Linked DNA regions of Xenopus tropicalis. The protein of the gene in region 2 purifies or fractionates together with the protein of the main gene of each other region. This does not show direct contact. Links are inferred from orthologs where the notes say so. Each region holds a gene or a part of one and is shown on either strand. Other genes may lie near its edges. The genes, in order: arpc3, arpc5l, arpc2 and arpc1a.

Region 1 (4,810 bases), on a different chromosome or scaffold from region 2:
GTGTCCAAGGCAACTCTCCAGCCAGTCAAAATTGTTGGCAAAATACTCCATACAATATACAAGGCCCCCATTTGGGCCAAATCGCAATGAACGATCCTCCATCACATCATCCACTTCAATCAGTTCCCGGATATCTTAAAAAAACAAAAACAAAAGATAATTATTTTCACTGTTAGACTAGAGAAAATGCACTTTCATCCGAAGCAATACAAATAGTTATTTCACAGGGGACTGGTTAGACTGTAGAATGCTCTACTTGGTGAAGCAGAGATAACTTTATCAAACAGGACTATGAAACATTTTTATTGGCACACCTGTGTTACATTATTCTATTTGTAATATTTAAGCAAACAGCATTTAATAGTTATTTCTCCACTAAGATAATCTGACATATGTAAGGGAGTGGTTTACCAGCCAATACAGGATAATCAAAATGCTCAGCTGCAGGATCCAGATTAACCACTTGGACAGATCGGTTCAAACTCCCACAGTGCTGCACCATGGTGGAACAATAAGTGCTCTGAAATACAAAGATTAATAATCACCATCTGCCAAAAAGATGTAATTAAAAAAAAATTCTACTGTTGTAATATATTAGACACACATAGGTCTATACATATGCCAAGGCTCCTTTGTGGCATTCTAGACTTGCTCATATGCAATACATAAAATTAGAAAACCTTATGTGATACTGACACCAAAAAAAAAAACCTTACCTATTTTTTATGTACATAAAAACTTACCTATAGGTCATGTTGGTCATATTTTACTGATAGGCTGCTTTTGTAAGGAATTGCTACTTTAAGGGCCTAAACCTGACTATTTTGCCAACCTGACTGTCCCTTTTCAACCTATTGGAATTTACAGTTACAGACTATTGCTGCACAAATATGGCAGCCTCCTTCTAGAGGTACTGGTAACGTAAAAGCATTTTAAAAAGAAAGTATACAGCTCATGCAAAGACAATGTTATAAGCTATTAAAAACAGTTTAATTGTAGGTGTCAGTATATAGTCAGTATATAGTTAGTACTGCGCACATGCCTAGGCATCCTACTGTAATTATTATTTTACTTTCTTTTAATAGCAAACAAGAGAGGTCTCTTCTTCAGGCTCCAGGAAAAACTGGAAAAGGGATCCCGAACTGCAGAAATCTTACACTGTAATACTGCTCTATAGTTACCCATTAAAGGTATGATACAAATCCACAATTTTGAGAGACCAAACCCAGAAATTACCTTTCCGCTGCCGGCGGGCCCCATAACGAGCTGTGCATATCGCGGCATTCTCCTTGCATCAGACTTGAAAACTGCCCAGGTGATCCAATAAGGAGCAAGAACACCTAGTTCCCCACAGTCCCTTTGCAATAAGACATGCCGGAAGCGCCTCCTTGCCTGTAATGCTGCCTAGTAGTCGCGCTGCTGTACTTCCGGGACGCTTTGCTACGGACGCCTCACCTTCCCTGCGATTAAGCTGGCGCCCTCTAGCGGCCATGAGACGCACTAGCTGTGCTAATGTTATAACTTCCTGCTTGCGAAGCCTTGGGTGGGACAGCGGAAGTACAGATACTACAACGTTTGGTCTCCCGGATTCCTTTCAAATATTCAGGGGTGTTAAAGATGCCGGTGAGTTTTTTCTTTTTCCTGCGTATTCTATGCTGCGTTGGAGCAGCCGGATCTCGGGGCAGGAGGCGAACTGGGGTAGAGCAGGGCTTGCCCGCCGGTACCTGCATTACTTAGAGCCAATGGCCATAATGATAAGATTCGGTGTTGCCAATGTCTGGGGCCCAGTGCAGGTACGCTTCCGCGTTAGCATTGCCGGCTGCACCGCGGCCCCCAGAATCCCTACAGCTAAGGGCTCATTGTATGTTCTGTATGTTGCCTTTTAGTCTTATGAACACACCAGCGATTGACTGTATGTGATCTCTCTGGCGCTGGTAAGGCAGAACGCCCCCACTACCGTGCCAGTGCCAGTGCCCACGTATATATATTGAAGGAATTGCCTAGAGATGAAATGAGGGTGGATCGCTGGGCTTTTTCTTTCTACCTGTTTCATGTGATCTTGCGCAAGGATCTCTCATTGCTTCCCCAGCGCTCCTATCATATGTAACACGGTCACAGAACTGCCATACGGTATTATTTTATTTGTGATGGGATAGGGGTGGGCTACAGCTAGTCAGGCCACTACTTGCCCTGCAGATTGTGCAAAAAGGGGAAGAGTGTTAGTCATGCAGGAAGTGGCTGGGGCCGACACACGGGAGGCATTTGCTTAGCTGTCAGCTACATTGCTGCAACCCAACTCATACACTTTAGCAGCCATACACAGTGTTTCATTTTCAGATTGCGAAACGTTCTATAATTAGGTAAATGCATTTTCTTTTATCCTCAGACATAAATATAGCAAGGCCTTCTAGAAAATATGTATATGATGTACTGTTCCATAAATATTATATGACTGCTTAAAAGTTGTGTGTAGATACATGAAAATGAGCTCCTAATTGCATCCAAATCCCCTGGTTTGATGTTAAATACTCTTTAAAAATTCAGATCTGTATAACCCAACTTGCAGACAAATTACTAAGCTACTGCCAAGATCGGTGTCAGTTTTTGGAACATGGCTTCTGTTGTAGAGTTTGGGATGTATTCAGAATAACCAGTAAGGGCTAAAAGGATCCAAAAGCCATCCCTTGTGGAATAAACATGATACACTTCCCCAATTGAGTTTTTAAGACTTCTTTAATGGAAAACTATACCTTCAGAACAAATACTTCACAAACAGATAATTTACTTACTTATAAGTAAATATTACCATCTAACATATTCTAGGGCAGTGCTGTCCAACTTCTGTTGTACCGAGGGCCGGAATTTTTCTTGCCTACATGGTGGAGGGCCGATAATGGAAGACACTTTTGACCACTCCCCTTTTTTAAACCACACCCACTTCAAACTACACCCATGCTATCACAAGAGCTTTTAAGACCATCCCCACATTAATGGTGGCAACACAGCAAAAACCCAATGGTTGGTGCTCACTGAAGGGATATCACCCTTAATTTATATATGAAAGAATTATATTATGTATTATACACTTAAATCGATATGCCTCCTCCTCTTCTGTGGATAGCACAGCAACCCCCCAGCATATAATTACACCCCTTGGGGACCATATAATGACTATATCCAAATGCCAAACTCCAGGAACAAACCCCTGCCAGGTTCACCTTCCACAGGCAGCATAGGGCAGGGAGAGTATGGCACACACAGGCAGCATAGGAAAGGCAGAGTATGGCACGCACTGGCAGCATAGGGAAGGCAGAGTATGGCACACACAGGCAGCATAGGGGAGGCATAGAGCAGGCAGAGTACTGCTTGCCCTACCCCTCCTGTGTGTGCCATACTCTGCCTGCCCTCCCCTGCCTATGTGTGCCATACTATGCTTGCCCTCCCCTGCCTATGTGTGCCATACTATGCCTGCCCTCCCCTGCCTATGTGTGCCATACTATGCTTGCCCTCCCCTTCCTATGTGTGCCATACTATGCTTGCCCTCCCCTGCCTATGTGTGCCATACTATGCCTGCCCCCCCCTGCCTATGTGTGCCATACTATTCCTGCCCACCCCTTCCTATGTGTGCCATACTATTCCTGCCCTCCCCTGCCTATGTGTGCCATACTATGCCTGCCCCCCCTGCCTATGTGTGCCATACTATGCCTGCCCACCCCTGCCTATGTGTGCCATACTATTCCTGCCCTCCCCTGCCTATGTGTGCCATACTATGCTTGCCCTCCCCTGCCTATGTGTGCCATACTATGTTTGCCCTCCCCTGCCTGTATGTGCCATACTATGCCTGCCCCCCCGCCTATGTCTGCCATACTATTCCTGTCCACCCCTGCCTATGTGTGCCATACTATTCCTTCCCACCCCTGCCTATGTGTGCCATACTATGCCTGCCCTATTGCACACACAGGCAGCATACAGTGACACAATGCTGGATGTGTCAGAGGGAATGTCTGAGGTGTGAACAGGGGAACAATGTGGGTGATTACAGCCAGAGCCTGAGGTGTGAACACTGCAGGGGGAAAACAATGAAGGCATTAAAAGGTGTGAACAGTACAGGGGATTACATGATTAAACAATACAGGGGGATTACAGCCTGAATCTGAGGTGTGAGCAATGCAGGGGGCAGTTAATCTCAGTACTGATACCATTTAAAGGTAATACACAAAGGTAAGCCATCAAAGCAGCCAGACAGGTGGGGGGCCACACAGAGGGGGGTCGCCAGGCCACCAGTTGGACAGCCCTGTTCTAGGGCAATGAGACACCAGTCATTTTGTTGCCCATGCAAGGGCAACAAAACAACTGAAAGACAATGCCATTACAGGCAATGCAAATTAAACAGATTGTGTGATAATGCCTTGGAGGGTACTTAAGCTGGCCATACACGTGGCGATCTGACGATGTTTCGTGCAACCATCGGTCGCACGAAACATCGTCAGATCCGCCACACACCATTCAGGGCTGAATCGGCAGGTAAGTAGGTAGAAACAATAGGATTTCTACCTCCTTCTGCCGATTCAGCGATGAAGGGAGATTTTGGTCAGGCGGCTTCTATGGCACCCGATCAAAATTTTCAAACTGGTCCGATCGGCGAGTCGGGCGATATCAGCAGCTTCCTGCGATATCGGTCGACTTGCTGACATACCTTCGTTTCGTACGATATTATCGGTGCGTGTATGGCCACCTTTACTCTAGATTATGCAATATAAAAAATTTTGCTGTGGCGATTTACATAGCCAGCAATGACAGATCATTTCAG
Region 2 (4,892 bases):
CAAACTCTTCTTTGGAATTTTTCCACTGTTGACAGACAGATTCTATTAATACGAATAACAGGCTTCTCCGATGGGTTTAGGTGTTTCTCCAGAGTGACAAACCACGGGCGAAAATACATCCTGTGTGCCATGAGCCTTACAGGGGCAAATCTTAACAAACCGTATAACATCAGAGAGCTGTGCTGCATGAAAAATGTGAACTTTGAAGCAGAAAAACATTGAGGGCCAAGGGAGATTTAAACAGCTAGCAAAATCTCTCACCCTGTCCCCAGTTCAGATGCAGCCAGCGGGCAGCATGCTGCCACCAGATCCTTGGTGCCCTTGGCATGGCCCTTTGTGGCTTGCCCACAAATCCAGGCCTGAAAATAAGTAGCTGTGTAGCCACGGGGGCTGCCATTCGAGTTGAAACTGGGTTAGATGCCACAGATACAGAGCAAATCTGATATGCAATCTGTGCCTTTTCTTGTTTTCAAGCTAAATACCTACCCCCATAGCTACACAGCAGCTTATTTATTTAACAGTAGTAGAGTTTGTGAAGCAAACACACAAGTTTTACCAGTGCAGGGCAGCAGTACGTTATATATTTCAATACCTTCATCATTTTTTTTTTTTTAATGTTACTTTAAGAGAACCCACATCACCAACTTATTTCAAAGAAGTACCTTTTGCCTAAATTTTATAAGTAACATTAGAAAACTATCAATGGCCTGGCATTTGGACATTCTAAGCAGTATATTTCTCTGGCTTATGAATCAATCAACACCCTATAATGAATTTATTGTTGGAATTCACTTTCTGTCTGCGCTCACAGGCTGCCGACATGCCGGTCAGTCCACTAGTAAGAAGGAATGGATCCACTTGCATTGGCCTGTTCCCATTTTTACGCAGGTGGGGAAACAGCCCTGTGTATCACTAACCTAAGCCAGCACTAAGGAGACCTAAAAAAGTTAACTAAAATAGGGCTGTTTTTTTCCTCCAGGTTGATATATTTGATTTTCTCTGTTAAAATGTAATAATACAATTTAGATTCAGCGTTCTGCTATATTGTTAATGCAGGATTCAGCTGAATCTAAAAATGAAGGATTCAGTACATGCCTTTATTAAAATCAATTATAAATACCGCAACTACAGTCATACCTACAAGGTGTAGCTAAAATGGCCGATTGGATTTTTCTCTTCTAACAAACACAAGCCTTGGAGTTGTAACCATACATCCAGACTGCTCAGCCCCTAACTAGCACCACCATGTGTACAGCCATAATGTTTGCTAAAGAATGTAAGCAAAGTATCAATAAACCTGCAACACTGGATTGCATGGGGCCAGCAATTACCAGTCTTTCCCACTCACAATGATTGACCAGCCTCTTGTTCTGTCACAGCCTTTCATATCATTGCTTTTTATAACTGAATCTTTGTTATCAGCAAAGGATGAGTCAATGCATATTAAACTATGTACGTACCCCCAGCTGTTACCCACCACTCCCAGGACAAGGGAGGCACGAAGAGTGATACTGGCAAATGTGCAGAAACAACTGCTAGAGGCAGGGGCATAGCTGCAAGTTACTTAGCTCCACCGTAACATTTTTAGCTCCCACTCGCTTTAGGGTGAAGACACACAGAGCTACTAGTAGTAGCTACTTTTTCATGGCTACTTAACTCCAGAAAACACCCTGCCATAGACAATACTGAGACTTGCCTCTGCTAAAACGCACACATAGAGACAATTACAGGTATGGGACCCATTATCCAGAATGCTCATGACCTGGGGTTTTCCAGATAAGGGGTCTTTCCGTAATTTGGATCTCCATACCTTAAGTATGTTAATAAAATTATTTAAACATTAAATAAACCCAATAGGCTTGTTTTGCCTCTAATAAGAATTAATTGTATCTTAGTTGGGATCAAGTACAGGTACTGTTTTATTATTACAGAGAAAAGGGAATCATTTAACCATTAAATAAACCCAATAGGGCTGTTCTGCCCCCAATAACGGGTAATTATATCTTAGTTGGGATCAAGTACAGGTACTGTTTTATTATTACAGAGAAAAGGGAATCATTTAACCATTAAATAAACCCAATAGGGCTGTTCTGCCCCAATAAGGGGTAATTATATCTTAGTTGGGATCACGTACAGGTACTGTTTTATTATTACAGAGAAAAGGGAATCATTTAACCATTAAATAAACCCAATAGGGCTGTTCTGCCCCCAATAAGGGGTAATTATATCTTAGTTGGGATCAAGTACAAGGTACTGTATTATTATTACAGAGAAAAATGAAATAATTTTTTAAAATGTGAATTATTTGATCACAATGGAGTCTATGGGAGACGGCCTTTTGGTAATTCAGAACTTTATGGATAATGGGTTTCCGGATAAGGGGTCCGATACCTGTATCAGTAAATGATCAGCATTGTCTATTTGAGTAGCCATGACAAGTACTAGTAGCTACATGTGTCTTCACCCATAAGAAACATTTTTCATTAAAAAAATAATAAACTGTTTATCAGTCCCCCCCCCCCCCTGACAAGAGGGTTGCAGGTTAAGCATTCCAGTAATTACAGCATGAGCGATGGCCTAGGTGTGCAGTAATACAGTAAAAGGATATTGCCTGATCAGACTGTCCACCTCGGCCTCGTCGGGCCCCTGAGGCTCGGCCGGTTCCTCCTGCAGCTGATCGTCAACAAATTTGTTCTCGTCGTACTCGTCTATGTCCACCTTGCGGAAGCGCGACGACAGCGTGTTCTTGGCCATGTTAGGCTAGCCGGCCGGCTGCAGCACCCACAGGAAGGGGGTGTGACACCCTGATAGGGTGTGAGCGCAGGGAAGGTGACAGGAACCGACTGCCACTACAAACACTCAATGAGCCTGACAGCAAAACGCACCCCCTTCAAAAATGCGGCCACTGATCGCTAGGGGCTACAGTAAGGCTCAATGAATTCTCTCAATGAAGCTGTGTGACAGGAATTGGGGGCTGAGAGAGAGGAGGGAAGGGGGCGGAGGCCAATGAAAAGGGGGTGTTGAGGCGCTTACTCCCTGGCTAGGTCGGACGGCAGCTACTCAGGGTGGGGGTGACCAGGGAGGGAAGTGGCGACTGAGAGGGAAGGGGGCTTGGCCGCTGTCACGGACACTCGCTTCCAGTCCAGCCGGCTCCCTCCGCTTCCGGTGACTCCGGCAGGGCGGAGCGTGTAGCGGAAGCGGAATGGCGTCACTGACATGAACGCGTGAGAAGCGAGAAGCCAACATGGCGGCCTCTTGTTGCTTAGCAACTCCTCAGGCCGTCACCCCAGGGGCTTGGGGGACAGTAGTTAGGGGCATAGATGTCAACATTCGGAAAAGAAATAACTGTATGGAGGAGGCATGGTGCCTTAAACGAAATAAACTTACATTGTGCCACACTACTTGGGAATTGAAATGCGTGCTGTAGTCACACAAGGCAGATTTATATGTAGCCTTAAAGAAGGTACATCAGTGAATTGCTAATTGGATATTAAGGGTCAGGATTTTAAGATACAGAAAAAAGTAAACATATGCTCAGAAGTAATTCGTAAATCTCACCCATAGTATAGATGGGCCCAGGTGCTCATGCCCCAGACCTTCAGCTAGAGGGAGCCATCATGGGTATCTCACAAACATTGAGAGAAGACAAACAAATAAATAAGGTTGAGGAGACTGCCTCACGCAGACAAAAGCAAACAAAAGGAATTCTGGGAACAAATTCCAGACTCTTTAAAAAAATCCCATTTACATGGGTTTATCCTATAGGCTACAGCTCACCCACTGGGTTTGAAGCTGAAGCCAGGACAATAGCTGATCAGATTCCCAACTACAGACCGGTTTCACCCTTATTGGGGGCTCATCAGTGTAGTGCAGGGTTTTCTGATCAGCTTAGGTAGAGTCACCATGTGGTTCTACAAACAAATAAATAAGGTTGAGGAGACTGCCTCACACAGAGAGAAGACAGGCACTCTGGTAGTTCAGTGAAGAAAAGCGGTTGTCCACGAGAAAGTAAAGTAAAATCACAAAACTTTTATTGAGCTAACACATGATACGTGAACTACCAGAGTGCCTGCCTTCTCTCAATGTTTGTGATATAGTCAGGATTTTGAGACCAGTTTCAAAGGGGTCATCTTTACATGGAAGCTAGTTAGTGCCTGTGGGTGGTGAATTAGTAGGTCAGATTGTTGGCAATATTATATAAATCATTTTTTCAAGGGTGATATGGCATTGGCAATTGGACTATCCACTATATCAGAATGGCAGTAAATGACAGCGCCAAAAAAATACCATGATTTGGTCATTACTAGGTTTGTACTTTCCTGTTAATTTACCTGCCGATCATTACAAGTAATGCCCTAGAATGCTGACTAAAAGCTGCAATTATGAGAGTTGTTCTTGGACATATGAATTGCTTTCTGGCTCTTATGACCTCCATATTGTAATATTGATTATTATTTAACCTAGAAAAACGCACTCATATCTTAAACTGTGTGTGCATTGTAATTGTCTGCGAGCACTAGTATGGTGGCCAAACCAATTGTATCTAAACTCATTTTCCATTCTTGCCTTGTAAGCCCACTGCCGTGCATTCACCTCTTCAGCTTCAGTGACGCAGAGAAACTAATACCTAGTTCCACAGCACTATGTAACATCCCAATATTCTAAAAACTGTATTTAGCCAGAGAATAGTGTGCGTATTTAATCACATTGCATCCACGATTCCTGGACAACTGCACTCTTTATCTGATTTGATCTGACAAACATAGTAACAGTAAATTTAAATCTTAATCAGGCCACACTCATTGATGTCACCATGTGACTATGCACGACCTGGTGACATCACTGTGCATGGCTGGATCAAAAATTGAATTTGCTATTATTCTGGATGTTAA
Region 3 (5,098 bases), on a different chromosome or scaffold from region 2:
CTGATTGTTAAATCCATTGTTCTAGCTGCAGCCGGCTGAAAAATGTAATCCCTGATTGGTTGCTATGGGTTACTGCCCACTGTTGATAAAAGAGCCCCACTGTATCAGTCGAAGAGAATGGAGTTTATAAATTGGCTTTACCTGCAAAGGTCATTTCCACCGCCTCCGGCTTGTTCCTGTAGGACAGACACACAGACACAGGGTTAATACGGCATTACACTTTGAGTTAACTTTTGCAAAAAAAAGTTTGCAATTGGTCTTTTTTTTCATTTGCAGTTTTTTAAAATTTAATTTGGAGGGCAACCCCCCCCCTTTCTGCCCCTATCGGCAAAATGACAAGAGAAAACTAACCGACACTATATCTGGATTATAGAGATGTCTCCTCTGGATTGGGCAGCAGTTTGGGGGTGCAGGAAAATCTAATGGGGGGGTCAGTATTGGGTCTGTGTGGGGAAAGCAGTATATATTTAAACCCTGACAAATAAACTGAGATTCTGTCGCCCAATCTGACCGTCACATGACCAGCAAATTAACTTTTAGTATGTTATAGAATGGCCAATTCTCAGCAACTTTTCAATTGGTCTTCATTATTTATTTTTTAATCATTTGCCGCCTTCTTCTGACTTTCCTGCATTCAAATAGGGGTCACTGACCCCGGCAGCCAATGAAAAAAAAACCAAACAAACTACTTCCCCATGAGGCTACAATTTTATTGTGTTTGTAACTTTTTATAACTTGTTTTTGTATTCAGGTTCTCTACTGACCATACGCCAATCCCTTGTTCTGCCACACCATGGTTGCTAAGGTACTTTGGACCCAGATAGCTGCTAAAATTCCAAAATTGAGAGCTTCAGAACAAAAAGTGAAATAAAAAGTGAAGACCAATTGCAAACTGTGTCACAATATTACTTTCTACATCATCCCAACCTCTTGAAGTCTAGAATGGATTCTTCAGCCAAGGCAAGTCATATGGCAGCTCCTAATCATAATTATGCATACATTTCCATGCTAACTAGGATATCATAGGGTATTAGGGCCACACACATTTATATCGGACACTAATAAGCAGCAGGGTCCAGTCTGGTTCATGCCCCAACAGGCAATTTTACTGGTTACCAGTAGAGCCGGGCTTGTCCCAGCATGCACTGCAACGCTAGAGGAATCTTTACTGATAGGACCTGCCAGGACAGGCGCAGAAATGCACCCAGGATGAGGAAGTTGGGCCCCCACCCCGTATATGGTAGCTCCTTCTCTGAAGTCTCACAGTGGGCGGGGCCAATAGCAGAATACAGATATATATATATATATATATATATATATATATATATATATATATATATATATATATATAGTGAGAGAATGAATCATATCTCAGCTCTGTATTCTCCCATCTCTGAGCTCAGTGCAGAGCGTGAAGTTACCACATCCGATAGCCTCACGGTGTCTGCAGTGGGGGTGTAGGGGGCAACAAGAATGCAACAGGCACCCACCCCGAGGGGCCACTTACACGGCCTGGAAAGGTTTAACTGCAGCTCTCTGCATTCTCTCTCAGCAAAGACACATTTATAGTGTAACTGACACTGCTACAATGTATCAACATTCTGCAACTTTCTCATAGGCAGAGAGGCTCAGTCTGCAGGGGCCCTGGGGTGCTGGAAGGTAATAGGATCAGCAGCTGGAGGGCCACATAGCACTAACTCTATCAGTGGGGCAGCCCTTTCCTACCCCCGTCTCACCTTCCTTGCACCCCATATTATGTTCATAACCCGGCCCTGCTCCCAGCCCCACCCCTTGAGCCCTTATTAGAGTGTGAGCTTCATTCCCACCCAGCCTCACACTGTAACCCCCCCTAAGCCCCACATAGTACCCCAATACCATTTCCCTATTTTCTGCCCTGTCTCCCTTATTCACTGTACCCCAACTTTAATTTCCAGAAGCCGCTGTTAATTCTTGCCCCTCTTACACCCCAGCCCTGATATGTACCCCACCTTAGACTTCACCCCATATTTATTCCTCCAACTTCTGCCCTGCATTTCTTTACCAGTCCCCACTGTTACCCCAGCTCAGGTATGTACCCCAAGTCCCACTCTGTTTGCCCCAGCTCAGGTATGTACCCCAAGTCCCACTCTACTTGCCCCAGCTCAGGTATGTACCCCAAGTCCCACTCTACTTGCCCCAGCTCAGGTATGTACCCCAAGTCCCACTCTACTTGCCCCAGCTCAGGTATGTACCCCAAGTCCCACTCTATTTGCCCCAGCTCAGGTATGTACCCCAAGTCCCACTCTATTTGCCCCAGCTCAGGTATGTACCCCAAGTCCCACTGTTTGCCCCAGCTCAGGTATGTACCCCAAGTCCCACTCTATTTGCCCCAGCTCAGGTATGTACCCCAAGTCCCACTCTATTTGCCCCAGCTCAGGTATGTACCCCAAGTCCCACTCTATTTGCCCCAGCTCAGGTATGTACCCCAAGTCCCACTCTATTTGCCCCAGCTCAGGTATGTACCCCAAGTCCCACTCTATTTGCCCCAGCTCAGGTATGTACCCCTAGCTCTACTCCTCTTCCTACCCCAATCCACTTCCCCCTATGGGATAACTAGTAAAATAACGTAAAACCGTGTGAGGGCTCCGAAACATAAGGAATTGCCCATTCTCACCATACTCATATTAAAACTTTTAATCGGTCAATGTCCAGCTGGGCCCCCACCCATCCCGGGCCCCCACCCATCCCGGGCCCCCACCCACCCCGGTCTCAGTCACACAGCCGGCCGCCCCCTCTATACACCGCCAGCACTTACCCCGCCGGCCCTCCCGCACTCACCCCGCTCCCCCGGCCCTCCCGCACTCACCTCCCGCACTCACCCCGCTCCCCCGGCCCTCCCGCACTCACCCCGCTCCCCCGGCCCTCCCGCACTCACCCCGCTCCCCCGGCCCTCCCGCACTCACCCCGCTCCCGGCCCTCCCGCACTCACCCCGCTCCCCCGGCCCTCCCGCACTCACCCCGCTCCCCCGGCCCTCCCGCACTCACCCCGCTCCCGGCCCTCCCGCACTCACCCTGCAGCCGCATTTTCAAACTTGAGGTTGAGGGTCTCCTCTATGATCCGGTTATTCACCTCCAGCAGGATCATGGCGGCACCTGGCGGGGGACAGCAGGGAGGGGTCGGATCGGTATCTCGGTGTCAGTGTGTGACAGGCCGCCGCTCCCTGCCCAGAACCACTTCCCTCTTCCCGTACTGCAAGATGGCGCCGCCCACAGCAGCTTCCTCCGTACAGAAACATGGCCGCCTCCGTCCCGCGCCTCACCAGGCTGCGCGTAATTCCGTACCGCAACATGGCCGCCACATTACTGCATGTAAAACCAAATCATTCCCGGCGTCTCACTATTCCGCACGCCAACACGGTCGCCCACTGAGCAGATTCCTTAAAGACCCTGAAACTATCGCAAGTTATCCGCCATCTCACTATTCCGTACAGCATTATGGCCACGCCGTCAAACCTTTTGATACTGACTGGGCTCGATACACTTGTTTTCAGGGTTGGCGGTTTTCCCGCCAAATTGGGCTACTAATTTAAAGCCCAGGTGGGTTTCCAAAGTACAGATTTGGGCTATTTGTTTTGGAGCCTTGGCGGGTTTGTAGTTTGGGAACTAGCCAAAGTTTTTTCCCCTAGTGTGTCTTTCCCACTGCATGCTGGGTAATGTAGTTTGTATCTTACAATTAGCCTACAGCTAGGATTAATATAAAACTACAGTACCCAGCATGCAATTGGATAGTATAGACCAAGGTTTCTATTCTATTTAGGCTCAACCTGTCTGTTCTACAACCTGCTCTATAGGGTATGAGCTTACACCATTACTTTCTACTGGGATGTGGGCCAGTTCTACCCCCTGCTCCCTGCTCTATAGGGTATGTGATTGTACTGTTACTTTCTACTGGGATGTGGGGCAGTTCTACCCCCTGCTCTATAGGGTATGTGATTGTACTGTTACTTTCTACTGGGATGTGGGGCAGTTCTACCCCCTGCTCTATAGGGTATGTGATTGTACTGTTACTTTCTACTGGGATGTGGGGCAGTTCTACCCCCTGCTCCCTGCTCTATAGGGTATGTGATTGTACTGTTACTTTCTACTGGGATGTGGGGCAGTTCTACCCCCTGCTCTATAGGGTATGTGATTGTACTGTTACTTTCTACTGGGATGTGGGGCAGTTCTACCCCCTGCTCTATAGGGTATGTGATTGTACTGTTACTTTCTACTGGGATGTGGGGCAGTTCTACCCCCTGCTCCCTGCTCTATAGGGTATGTGATTGTACTGTTACTTTCTACTGGGATGTGGGGCAGTTCTACCCCCTGCTCTATAGGGTATGTGATTGTACTGTTACTTTCTACTGGGATGTGGGGCAGTTCTACCCCCTGCTCCCTGCTCTATAGGGTATGTGATTGTACTGTTACTTTCTACTGGGATGTGGGGCAGTTCTGCAGTTGATTCTTAAGCTATAACTCTCATGATATCTTGGGGCTGTGAGAGTTGTAGTTCAACACACCCATATGTATATCATGTCTGGGGTTAATGCAACATTCTGAATCCATTTCTGTAGTGATTTCCCAGCCGGACTGGGCCCAGAGGGAATTATCAGCCATCCCAGTAACTGGGGAGGGGGCACAGGACATGGGTAGGGATTATACGCTTTAAAAAGGCAGGTTTCCCATATATTCTTTTATTTTTTTAGAATTTTTTTTCATTGCAGATATTGGGCTATTTTTGGGCTACTTTCAAAGTGGCTTTTGGCTAGTTTTGGGCTGGTTTTAAAACTGACTTTGGCTGGTTTGGAAAAATGAATCTGGCAACTCTGCCTGCTTTGCTTATTGGCTGGAACAAAAATACTTGTAAACATATTCTGTTGAATCTAATTGCAATCAGTGCAGCCCTTCTAGTTGGATTTTTTAGATGTGTCCCTGAATTTTCAAGTGATCTTGTCGCCCTAAACTGATATATCATTTAAAGGTTTCCCAATGAAAATGATTTATAGGGATTAAAGGAGAAGGAAAGGGTAAATTACTGGGTAACCATTTGTTAGGGAGCCCCTGTGTTAATTGCTTACCT
Region 4 (4,313 bases), on a different chromosome or scaffold from region 2:
AAATTCTGGCCCTCGGCACCGCAGAAGTTGGATAGGACTGCTCTACTTTAACAAATCCTTTCTCTCCTTTTGATCTACTTTCCTCTTTGCTTCATCCAGTACAACTACACTGTAACCTCTAGCCTTAAACTGCATGCACATTTCCTCAGCTCTCATCTCTAATCTTTCTTCATTACTCACAATTCTTTTTACCCTCAACAATTGGCTATATGGTAATCCCTTCACAAGTGATGGTGGGTGAAAACTATTAGAACTCAAATAAGTCACCTTATCAGTAGGTTTACAATAAAGATCAAATATAAATGTATTGTTCTCAACTCCCACCAAAACATCCAGGAAATGTACCTTATGCCGATCCCTTTCCAGGGTAAATTGTATTTTTGGTAATCTCGTATCCAGGTATTCCTTAAACTCCAATAGTACATCCTCTGTACCCTGCCAAATAAAAAAAGATAATGTCTATATAGCGTAGCCAAACTAGAACATGTTGCCAAAACCTCTCATTTCCATAGACAAACTCATCCTCATACCAAGCCATGAATAAATTTGCATAGGCCGGAGCTACATTAGAGCCCATTGATGTACCCTGGCTCTGTTCAAAAAATTTTTCTTCAAAGACAAAATAGTTTTTAGTCAATACCATTCTCAAAAACTTCAGCAGCATTGTTGGTACCCCACTAGGTAGGTCAAGTTTATCGAGCACCCCTTGTATCACATCCATACCCTGTTCATGTGGGATAGATGTATACAAGGAAGCCACATCCATTGTACATAGCCAGACTCCCTCATCTAGCCCCTGGACAGTATTTAATTTATTGATAAAGTCAGTGCTATCCTTCACATAGGATTTAGTACCTACCATCACCGGATTAAGTACACTATCCAGTAGCATCGCAATCGGTTGAAAAATGGATGATACTCCTGCAACTATAGGTCGGCCAGGGGGATTCTGAAGATTTTTGTGTATTTTCGGAAGAAGATAAAATGCTGGGAAATCAACAGTCAAATAATCATATAGTTTCTTTGTAATTAAGCCATCATTCAAGCATTCCTTCAGGTATTCATCTAGCACCTGTTTCAACACATTCGTTGGATCCTTATTCAAACGCTTATAGTGTTTAATTTCCCAGTTGTAGCCATACTTCCTTTCTATATGCTTCCGCATCCATTACTACAATGGCTCCCCCCTTGTCCGTAGGTTTTATCACAATGGTTTTATCGGAACTTAAAGTCTCTAAGGCTTCTTTTTCAGATTTCTCAAGATTGATACCTGCCGGCAGGAGGTGCCATTTCAGTTTTTCCACATCCTTCCCTATTCTAGCCCTGAGTGCACTCTATTACTTTAAATACTGTATGAAAATAGCAGAGCTGAAAAAAGAGTTTGAAGGTGTACAACCCCTTTAAAGTGCTAGAGTTTGTCAGCTGCCATTTTTTATAAATAATTTTTGGGTTGCAGAACATGCTTTCTCTTATTGTATAATATTTGGTCATAATGCTATTACCCAGTTATCCTAATGTATAAAGCAGTGGAAATGTCAGAATTTTGGGAACAGCACATGTGCAGTTGAGCGAAAAATGCCAGCTTTGTTTGTTAGTCATTTTTCACTCTACTGTGCATGTGTGAAGACCGAAGCAGGAAAAATCGCTAGCTCACATACATCCCTAGCCGGTGCAGTTTTCTCCTAACAGGAGCACCAACCAGGGGTTTCAGGTAAGAGATTACAATCACTAGGGGGTGCCTAACATTTTGGACCCCCCCCCCCCTAGTGATTTAACCTTTCCTTCTCCTTTTAACTTTATTCCCCTGCCCCCTTTCAAAACAAAGCAATTTTCTGCTACCTATATTATAGAAGTTTGTTCTTTCATAAAAGCATTAAAAACAACCTTTGATTTTCCTAGGCATTGACTGGGCTCCTAAAAGCGATCGTATAGTAACATGTGGTGCTGACCGTAATGCATATGTTTGGAGCCAAAAGGATGGTGTATGGAAGCCAACATTGGTGATTCTACGCATTAACCGTGCAGCTACCTTTGTAAAGTGGTCTCCGCTAGAAAATAAGTTTGCAGTGGGAAGCGGAGCAAGACTCATATCTGTGTGCTACTTTGAATCTGAAAATGACTGGTAAGTTATTCTTCCTCATTACACTAACAATATGTAGAGTTACCCGACTAAGGAACCTGGAAATCTTACCTTCGAGCAACATGCTCTCAACATGTTGCTTACCAACCCCTTGGATGTTGCTCCCAGTAGCCTTAAAGCTTGTGCTCATTATAAAAATGTCTGACTTGAAAGCATGTTTTGGAAGCATAGACACCATGTGTACTGCCAGACAAAGACTCTTGTAGTCTGCCAGTCCACATTGGGCTACAAAATAGCCAATCATAGCTCTTATTGGGTATCCCTTAAGAGAACTGTTTTCCAACTTATTTATTTTTAAATTGTTCTCAGAGGTTAAGAAGGTTGGGCCTGCCTGACGTATATGTTGGTGCAGTGCTGAAAAGTACTCTAGTCTGGTGCATTTTTGATTGTTTGGGTGCTTAACAACTTGCCATCTTACATTCTTTCATGAAGGTGTTGCAGTATGCAAGATTTACCAATTGGTGCTTCACATGTTTCTGACTTACGTCATTGATCATAATAATTAGCTTATTAGTGTTATGGTCATTCTGTTTTTTTGGTATTCCACTCTAGCAATCAAGTTATGAAACTGTTTGTTTTATGTAAATGTGGTTAAAAACAAAACTATACAATTTTTATAAATGTAGTCAATAATAAATTAAAGAAGAAATTACAGAATATTGTTTTGGTTTCTACTTTTTTTTTTTTTTTCAATTCTGTGTGGCAGCTTTTTGGATAGCTACGACCCATAATCCTTTATGTTCCAGCAAAATATCACATTTAATTTTCATTTTACATTTTATTCTCATCTTTTCTTCTGGAAAAATGTATTTACCCAGTAAACCTATGTATTTTTTTAAAGGCTTTGTAAATCTCCCTGATTGTTTTTTCTGTGTAATTGTACTTCTGTATCAAGATAATGAACTCAAAGATACAAATCTTTTGGAATGTTTTTTTTTTTTTTTTTTTTAACCCTTTTACTGCCAGCCATTTTGGTCAAAGCGGAACTTGTATTGCCAGACAGTTTTTGAACATTTTGCACTGTTTCACTTTAGGGGCCTTTCCTCGGGGGGACTTTTAGTTTACCAAGGAAAACAATATATCGTTTTTTTCAGAACAACCTAAGCTTTCAAAATATGGTAGAATTTTTGTGTAATTCCAATTCTGTAACAAGATATAGGCTTCTAAATGTCTAAAAATGCAAAAAAAATCAAATTTTCCATAATATAATCACACATACTAGAAACAAAAATTATTTTATGCATGAATATACAACTGATTTGGAAAGTCCCATGTCTCCTGAACGTGCCAATACCAAATATATATAGTTTTATGGAGATTTCTCACTTGTATAGGTCAAAAACTCCCAGCAGTACACTACCAAATTCCCAAAGCACTGCTCCAAAAAAACTGCATACTTTGGATTTCAAGGCCAAAATTCCACTAACAGAAGGTTTATCCCAGAAAATTGTACATTTTTGGAAAGAACAGATTCTGGGGAATACAGAATAGGCACAACTGTCTGTCTACTCCAAACTATCAAGTCGCAATGCTTTCCTAAAGTTATTGGTTTTTATCAAAATTTGTGATTTTTTTTAAAAATCGCTTCAAAGCTTCTAGTCTATAGTATCTTATCTCCTACAGGTCATAAAGTAACCAAATAAAACACCCCAAATATGAATGCCTGGGGTCCACTGAACAGTTTGATGCCCAATATGTATAGGTTTACCTAAGTATGTGGCATGTAGGGGCCCGAATGTGAACATACCCCATATGAACTGTCATTTCTGTCATTTCAGCTTCTGCAAAATCAACACATTTACATCATTATATGTGAGATAAAGCTACAAAAAAGTACGCTCACCCCAGAAAGCCATATATTTTTGGAAAGTACACATTCCCCCGAATCTAAAATGGGTACCCATGTCTTTCTACTCCAAAGTACCAAGCCGCACAGCTTTTCTAAAGTTAGCAATTTTGATGACATTTCCAAAAATCCCCTCAAAGCTTCCACTTTGCAGCATCTTATCTCCCACATAGCATTAGGTACCAAGATAAAACACCCTGAATTTGAACACCAGGGGTCCACTGAACAGTTTGATGCCCAATATGTATAGGTTTACCTAAGTATGTGGCATGTAGGGGCCCCAATGGGAACATACCCCCATATGATCTATCATTTCAGCTCCTGCAA

The links.
Region 1: the proteins of arpc5l (region 2) and arpc3 purify together in Homo sapiens (affinity purification with mass spectrometry; 7 studies listed by BioGRID and IntAct, counting the BioPlex papers as one, with this or other methods). This does not show direct contact. The link is inferred for Xenopus tropicalis from reciprocal best matches to the Homo sapiens genes ARPC5L and ARPC3.
Region 3: the proteins of arpc5l (region 2) and arpc2 fractionate together in Homo sapiens (co-fractionation; 7 studies listed by BioGRID and IntAct, with this or other methods). This does not show direct contact. The link is inferred for Xenopus tropicalis from reciprocal best matches to the Homo sapiens genes ARPC5L and ARPC2.
Region 4: the proteins of arpc5l (region 2) and arpc1a fractionate together in Homo sapiens (co-fractionation; 7 studies listed by BioGRID and IntAct, with this or other methods). This does not show direct contact. The link is inferred for Xenopus tropicalis from reciprocal best matches to the Homo sapiens genes ARPC5L and ARPC1A.

What each region holds. Positions count from the first base shown.
Region 1 is NC_030677.2:162,793,103-162,797,912, reverse strand, and holds the start of arpc3 (actin-related protein 2/3 complex subunit 3), read left to right. Parts: upstream 1-1,410; 5' UTR 1,411-1,617; coding exon 1,618-1,623; intron 1,624-4,810. Other genes in the region: gpn3 (GPN-loop GTPase 3), read right to left, coding at 1-134, 412-520, 1,237-1,284. UniProt on the Homo sapiens protein: Component of the Arp2/3 complex, a multiprotein complex that mediates actin polymerization upon stimulation by nucleation-promoting factor (NPF).
Region 2 is NC_030684.2:28,257,777-28,262,668, forward strand, and holds the start of arpc5l (actin-related protein 2/3 complex subunit 5-like protein), read right to left. Parts: upstream 3,089-4,892; 5' UTR 2,755-3,088; coding exon 2,609-2,754; intron 1-2,608. UniProt on the Homo sapiens protein: May function as component of the Arp2/3 complex which is involved in regulation of actin polymerization and together with an activating nucleation-promoting factor (NPF) mediates the formation of branched actin networks.
Region 3 is NC_030685.2:85,244,392-85,249,489, forward strand, and holds the start of arpc2 (actin-related protein 2/3 complex subunit 2), read right to left. Parts: upstream 3,222-5,098; 5' UTR 3,125-3,221; coding exon 3,051-3,124; intron 177-3,050; coding exon 142-176; intron 1-141. UniProt on the Homo sapiens protein: Actin-binding component of the Arp2/3 complex, a multiprotein complex that mediates actin polymerization upon stimulation by nucleation-promoting factor (NPF).
Region 4 is NC_030685.2:41,716,350-41,720,662, forward strand, and holds part of arpc1a (actin-related protein 2/3 complex subunit 1A), read left to right. Parts: intron 1-1,899; coding exon 1,900-2,122; intron 2,123-4,313. UniProt on the Homo sapiens protein: Probably functions as a component of the Arp2/3 complex which is involved in regulation of actin polymerization and together with an activating nucleation-promoting factor (NPF) mediates the formation of branched actin networks.